Linked DNA regions of Macaca mulatta. The protein of the gene in region 2 interacts with the protein of the main gene of each other region in a pairwise test. Links are inferred from orthologs where the notes say so. Each region holds a gene or a part of one and is shown on either strand. Other genes may lie near its edges.

Region 1 (3,649 bases), on a different chromosome or scaffold from region 2:
GGGTGGCCGTAAATACTATTTTGAGTCGGAGGATCAAGTTTTTCTGGATGCCACTGGGACAAATAAATGGAAGTGGGTAAAAGTGGGAGGGGCAGGGCTGGTGAGGGGAGTAGGAAGAAGATTGCTTCTCATTTTATATGCCTCTGCATTTGTTTAAATTTTTTTTTTTTTTGTAATGGATTCATGTTATAATTAGTGAAATGAGTAAAAATGTAAGTGGAGAGCAGGATTTGGTGAGCCACTAGAAGGCAGATTTGGGCCAGCTGGCCCTAAAGGCCCCTGAGGGTCTTGCTGACTCTTGGGGAGGAGGCAGGGCAGGGACAAGGAGTGGGAGAAGGGAGGAGGGCAGCTGAAAGTCACTCTCTCCTGCCTGGCTCTGGTCTGTGATTTGAGCATACGGAATGGTGGACACTGAGCTTCTGGGCTCACTGCCCTGACCCCCAGGGTGTCCCTGGGAGCTTATCAGGCCCAGGGACCTAGGTAGTCATCACCTGGAACTCACAGGACTTTGGCATTTGCCCTGTGGTCAATCTAGGTGTGCAGAAATGGGAAGCTGCTCCTGGTCTTGCTCAAGCCCCTAGTCTGTTGGCTGCCATGTGGCCTGTGGAAATGTCCAGGAGTGAACATTGGCCTCAGCCATTGTCTGTTGGCACTGCGTAGATCCGGGTTTCTTAATCTTGGCACTATGGATGTCTGGGGCCATGCAACTCTTTGTTGTGGGGGCCATCCTGCACACTGTGGGATGTTTAACTGCATCTCTGGCCTCTACCTGCTAGATGCTGGGAGCACCACTCTAGCTGCCGGGAGCACCACTTTAGCTGCCGGGAGAACCACTCTAGCTGCAGCCATCAAAAATGTCCCCAGATGTTGCTGAATGTCCCCTGGAGGCAAATTGGCCCCAGCTGAGAAGACCTGGTGAAAATGGCTGGACTGGATCATGTCAGAGTCTTCCCAGCCAGTGGGGTAAAGCGCAGAGGCTCCTTGCAGAAAGTCCCCACTGAATGTATGGGTCCCAGATTGCAATTGCAAAAGTGGGGTGTGTTTCCCAAAAGCCAAGGGGGCAATCCCAGTGTCTCCATGACAGAAGACATGTCCCTGACCGACACTGACCATCCCCGGGCTCTGGAGCCTCCAATCTAGGGCCAAGGGCACGGAAGCAGTGAGGATTTCCTTGGAGATGCCTAGAGTGATAAAGCTGCAGCCAATGGACCTGTGACCTGCGGTCATGGGAAGAGCCGGGAGCACCTTCTAACCAGCTCCGGCTTTTACCATTTCCCACTTCTCCATCTTCTCTTCTCTCCTCTTCTTTCTCCCTCTGTCCCCTTCCTTTCCTCCTTCCATCCTCCTGCCCTCCTGTCATCTCCCTTATTTAGTTATAACAGAGTATTAAAGTATACATTTATTATATTAATTAGACCTACATATTCCTTATTTATTTATTTATTTATTTATTTATTTATCTGAGACGGAGTCTCACTCTGTCGCCCAGGCTGGAGTGAAGTGGCCAGATCTCAGCTCACTGCAAGCTCTGCCTCCCGGGTTTACGCCATTCTCCTGCCTCAGCCTCCCGAGTAGCTGGGACTACAGGCGCCTGCCACCTCGCCCGGCTAGTTTTTTGTATTTTTAGTAGAGACAGGGTTTCACCGTGTTAGCCAGGATGGTTTCTATCTCCTGACCTCGTGATCCACCTGTCTTGGCCTCCCAAAGTGCTGGGATTACAGGCTTGAGCCACCGCGCCTGGCCCTTATTTTTAATTTTGAAGATAAGGGAATGGAAAACTTATTATTTTCTCTAAAATAAAACAAAATGGCACCATTTATTTTCTCCCTGTATGGCTGTTGGTTTGGTTTGTATTTCTGGGGTCAGGGGCTCCCCATGAAAAACCAAAGCTGCTACACTTGAAAGCCGTCTTTTTGCAATGCCAGGCACTCCTTGGGACAGGCCAGTGACAAGGTCCCGCCCTCTGGGAATTTCCACTGTGTGGTTGTCTCTTGTGTCCTCTGCCTTCTCTGGCCTCTTCCTTCTCCTAGGGGGGGCAGGAAGAGAGGCCCCTTCTCATTCCTTCCTGACACCCCCCACCTGTAGTAGAACATCTCCCGGCAGGCATGACCTCAGACGAGAATCCTTGCTCTGCCAATCCCCATCGCCAGTCCCCTTCCACTCCCGCATCACTGCCCGGCTCCAGACTGTGCGCCCGCCGGGACACTCACTATTTGGCAGAGTCGTTGAGCTGATACTCCCGGGACCGGTTGAAGCACTCTTGGATTCCTGAGTCGCCCCAGAGCCGCATCATGGCAGAAAGCAGCTCTGCAGAGAAGGGCTCGGTGTCTTCCATCCGACTCACCACGTCGCACACCATCTTGGCGTCAGCCTGTAAGGAGAGGTGGATGGTGGGCTTTGAGACTTCGGTGGGGACAGAAGACCCCTGCCAGCCAAGGGCTCTCCCCTGGCTGGGACTGTGATGAGGGCCCAGCCAGGGTGGCAGGACCACGGCTCAGCTCACAGCCTGCTCTGGGCAGGGCCACGACCTGAGCATGCACAGTCGGGGTTCATGGGGCCTGTGGGGCCTTCTACCACATGGACATCCTAAAGCAAGAGCTCCAAGCCACAGCCCATGGGGCCCCAGAGTTTTCCGGGGCAGGAAGGGAGAGTGGGCTGGGCTCTGTTCTCCACCCTCCAACTCAACCAGCAGCTCTGCTTTCATCCTGAAAACACAGTTATTTTGTTTGGGGGAGAAAAAAAAATCAATGTTCTTTGCTGAGTTGTAATTTTCTACACTTCTTACGCAGGCTGGAATGGAGTCCTTAGAACTGGGCTATGTGGAGGAGCAGGTGTTTCGGTGGAGAATTCTGGTTCGCTGAGGGATGGGCCACAGGGGGGGCTGTGCCTCAGGACTGGGGGAGGGGAGGGGCTGGTTGCCAAGTGAGTGCAGATGGCAAAAATATCTCATGCCAACATTAAATCTCAAGAACTTTGGTCCTTGGATTGCTCAAAGTCAAAGGCCATTTTATTAATTTTTCTTGATTTGTTTGTGACCTGGGGCCTACCTTTCTCTGGGGGCAGGGGAAGCCCCTAGGTCAGGTGAAACATGGGAATGGGAAAGGACAGGTAATGAGCTTGGAGCGCTCTCCTCCTCTGCCTCCTCCCTTCCTCCTTGTCTGAGTGGGTGTAGCTGAATTTGCTTAAGGTGCACAAGTGTAGGCTGAGCCTTCTTGAAATTACAGAAAAAGTACTGCATAATTAACAGGATTCTTCCCCTTCCCCTCATCCTGAATATCAAAGTAGGGTCACCTGTTTTCAAAGACTACAATCACATGCATGTAACATCACAATCAGGCGTGTGGTGTCTTTGAAGACAAGAAGGCTCCTGGAGACATCCCAGGACGGCACTGTCACTGCCACCTTGCACACGGGAGTAGTACTTAGTGTACAAAGGATTTGGTGGACACACTCCGTCCTCAGAACCTCCCCCACCTCAAGAGCGAGTGGCAGGAGCTGTGTCATTGGGCCTTTCACCCCTCCTCTGCCCACACCCGTTGTCCTGTGCCTCTTCAGCTCCTCCTGCTAAAGGCACTGTACATTTCCTGTCTGCTTGATGTTGAGTATGGCACAGGACTTGCCACGGTCCACAGAATGGTGCAGGAGTGGC
Region 2 (3,452 bases):
TTCTGAGGCGGGCCCTGGTGGAGCCCAGGGTGTGGGAAGAAGGTGAACACACAGGCTATGTCTCCCCTCCCAAGGGGCACTGGAGCCCCTGCCCTGGCACAAGGGCACTGCTCCCCAGCCCTGAGTCTGGGGCCACTCATTCTCCAGTCTCTCCCCACACTTGGACAAAAATGAGTAGAGACTTGTGCTTTAAAAATATCTTCAATAATAAGACATCCTATTTTTGGGGGGTTAGGGATAGAGATAAATATGAAAACTTTTTTTTTGATAAAACACCTAGTAAGGATATGTTTCCAGGTTTAAAGTTCATGAACATATAAAACAGAAATTGGGTCCTGCCACCTTGAGTGCAGGATTCTGAGGTCCTACATCTGGTTCTGAGGTTCTGGGTTTGATTCTGGGGTACAGACAGCTCAAGTAGGAGGTCTCCTTATGTCATAGAACTACATGATGCAGAGGTTCTGCTCCCCACCAAGGCTTGTCCGGGGCCCGTCAGCTGCCTGGGGAAGAGGCCCCAACGAGGCTCCTGGGTCCAGCATGGCTCCTGGGGGGGCCCCTACTCTCACCATGCAAGAGCCCCCACCAGGAGCCCTGGGCCAGCCAGCTGTGGGCCGATGAGAAGGCTTCTGGCCCACCCTGCACCTGGAGTTCCTGCTTGGCCACGGGTGGGCAGAGCCAGGAGGCACAGCACTCCCCACTGGGTCTAGGACCGTCTCCACGGCTGGGGACCCCAGCCGGCCAGGCTGGGCCCGCAGGTGTGTGCCCCGACAGCCAACACCTGAAGGCAACCCAGAGTCGGCCATAGGAGGCGGTGGGGTCTGTGCTGCTGGGGGCGGCCTAGGCCTCGGAGGAGGACTGTGACGGCCCCTGCAGCAGCAGGGCACGGTAGGTGGGAGAGCTGAGAAAGCGTGGGTAGGAGTCCCGGTGCATGAGTGTGTAGATCTGCAGCTGTGCGTCGTCAAACGTGTGTGCGGACGGCTCCTGCATCTTCTTGTTGATGCCCTCCCGCACACGGGAGTCCAGGCTCACCTGTAGGACAAGGCACTGAGGTCAGGGGGCTTGGGAGGTGCCTTCCCCACCTAGTGCCCGGAGCAGGCGGCCCCCTGCCCCTTGTGGTGTCCGGCGCACCTCCTTGGGGGACAGGATGGACACGTAGTCCTCGTAGATGAGCCTCGCCTTCTCGTCCACCACGTGCTGGTTGGCCTCGGCCTTCAGCTCCTCACAGGCCAGCCAGAAGAGCATGTTCTCCTCGCTGTACTCTGTCCGCAGGAACGCCCGGAACACGCTGCGTCCCGCCGGGCTGTGCATCAGCTTGTCAAAAGACTGGGCCCAGCTCTGCACCTCCTCAGGACTTGGCGTGGCACTGCGGGCATTGGGGCCAGGCTACGTCAGGCTCAAGTCTCCCAGCCTGGGGCCCCCCAACACGCACACACCAGCCGGCTGGACTCACCATACTTCACAGCTGGGGAGGGGCTGCAGCTTGCTCTCCCGGGAGGCCTGCCACGCGCGCCGCCGCTCTTGGTTCCTAGTGGCAGAGAGGAAGCGGCACTGCCGTGGGCACACACGCCTCCATGGCCACACAGGCCCTCAGCACATGGGCAGGCATCTGACACACATGTGTACCCACTGTAGGAGGGCAGCCCCTGCAGCTAGCTCCTCCCACAATCTCCTGGGAAAGGGTGTCCATGCTCCCTGTCAGTCGTTCCCGAATTCTCCACGGAATCTGCAGTCCAGGTTACTGTCCCTGCCACAGTGCCCACGGACTCAGCCCTCTTCCATCCCAGCACCTTGACCCAGTGCCCGTGAGTCTCTGGCCCTCCAGGAGGGACCCTTTGGCTCCTGGTGCTCCTCCCCATCCCTGGCCCACTGGGCAACCTCCTCCACCCACCCATGCCCACCCCACATGAGGCTGAGAAGCAGGTATGCCACCTCCCCTTCTGCCTCTGCTCCCCTAGGGGAGATGGGTTGGGGCAAGCTGAGGGGCCACAAGGAGCTGGGAGATGCCTGAACACCTGGGATGCCAGAAGGGTCATGTGCCTGGGAACAGGGACACCCATGAGAGTGTGCCTAGGAACATGGCCACCCTGCTCCTCGGCCTGTTCTTGGCCTGTCCCTGTCCCACTGATGGGGCCACACGCTGCAGGTCTGGCATGTCAGCAGTGTGTCTCGTCAGCTGACACCACTGAAAGCCCCAAACCCATGTGTCCACACTGGTTAGGTCCTGGAGCCTGATCCCTGGTTCTCTCAAGGGAAACTGCTTCTTTGCCTTGGCTCCTAGTACCCTGTCAATGCTGGACCCAAATCCATAGCCGGCTGATCTTTCTCCAGGGCACGGCTGGCAGACATCGTGCACCCAGACGTCCTGACGGAACTAGGCCCCTGGGCTCCTCCCAGCCCCTTTCCCGACTGCCCCCTGGCCACCCCCAGCTTGCCCATGGGTCAGCTGACCCCACGTTGGGTCCAGAAGCGCTGTCCTCTCATCGGCCAGGGTCGGAAGGCATGAAAACATGCACCAGCTCCCCTACCCTCCTAGGAAATCTGTTACCATCTGGGAGCCCCACTCCCACCCTCACAGGGATGCCCAAAGACCCCCCCACCACCCTGTGCTCTTCTCCCCCGACGCATGCTGTCCGGGAAGCTCTTGGCTATCACCCCAGGGCCAGCAGTTGCCTTATTCGAGTCTCTGCTCAAACGTCCCTCCACCCCACACAGTCTGTGGGGTCTGTGCCTCTCTTTCTCTCTCTTTCTTTCTTTTATTTTGAGACAGAGTTTTGCTCTTATTGCCCAGGCTGGAATGCAATGGCGTGATCTCGGCTCATTGCAACCTCCACCTCCCAGGTTCAAGCCATTCTCCTGCCTCAGCCTCCTGAGTAGCTGGGATTACAGGCATGCGTCACCACACCCGGCTAATTTTGTATTTTTAGTAGAGACGGGGTTTCTCCATGTTGGTCAGGCTGGTTTCGAACTCCTGACCTCAGATGATCCGCCCGCCTCAGCCTCCCAAAGTGCTGGGATTACAGGCGTGAGCCACCGCGCCCGGCCTGTGCCTGTCTTACTCCATCGCAGGCCCCCAGGGCCCAGCCTGGGCTGGCTCACAGCAGCATGGATAAGCACATGCCGTGTGAACGGGCACATGCGTGTACACAGCACACCGACACACCCTTGGCAAGACAGGTACAAGAACCACACATAAGTCCCCTGGGCCCAAGGCACCGGCCACTCATCACCAGGGCCCAACAGACCCCAGACAGGACACGCCGCGAGGTGGCAGGAGCACCCTACCTGCGGGGATTCCTCAGAAGCCACCACTGGGTCCCCTCCTGGGTCTGCTTGGCCCCAGGCCCTCCAGCCCCTCTCCAGCTGGGCACCCCAGGCCCTACTCACCAGGAGCAGCTACAGCAGCAGCACCAGCATAGGCAGCAGGGGTTACGGCTGGGGGCTGCGGGAGGGGC

What was found. The genes of interacting proteins can lie anywhere in the genome.
Region 1: the proteins of RGS19 (region 2) and GNAO1 interact in a two-hybrid assay, tested with the Homo sapiens proteins (2 studies listed by BioGRID). The link is inferred for Macaca mulatta from reciprocal best matches to the Homo sapiens genes RGS19 and GNAO1.

What each region holds. Positions count from the first base shown.
Region 1 is NC_133425.1:51,890,667-51,894,315, reverse strand, and holds part of GNAO1 (guanine nucleotide-binding protein G(o) subunit alpha), read right to left. Parts: intron 3,466-3,649; coding exon of another isoform or gene 3,452-3,465; intron 2,372-3,451; coding exon 2,211-2,371; intron 1-2,210. UniProt on the Homo sapiens protein: Guanine nucleotide-binding proteins (G proteins) function as transducers downstream of G protein-coupled receptors (GPCRs) in numerous signaling cascades.
Region 2 is NC_133415.1:116,963,613-116,967,064, forward strand, and holds the end of RGS19 (regulator of G-protein signaling 19), read right to left. Parts: coding exon 3,385-3,452; intron 1,526-3,384; coding exon 1,451-1,525; intron 1,364-1,450; coding exon 1,129-1,363; intron 1,030-1,128; coding exon 838-1,029; 3' UTR 636-837; downstream 1-635. UniProt on the Homo sapiens protein: Inhibits signal transduction by increasing the GTPase activity of G protein alpha subunits thereby driving them into their inactive GDP-bound form. Binds to G-alpha subfamily 1 members, with the order G(i)a3 > G(i)a1 > G(o)a >> G(z)a/G(i)a2.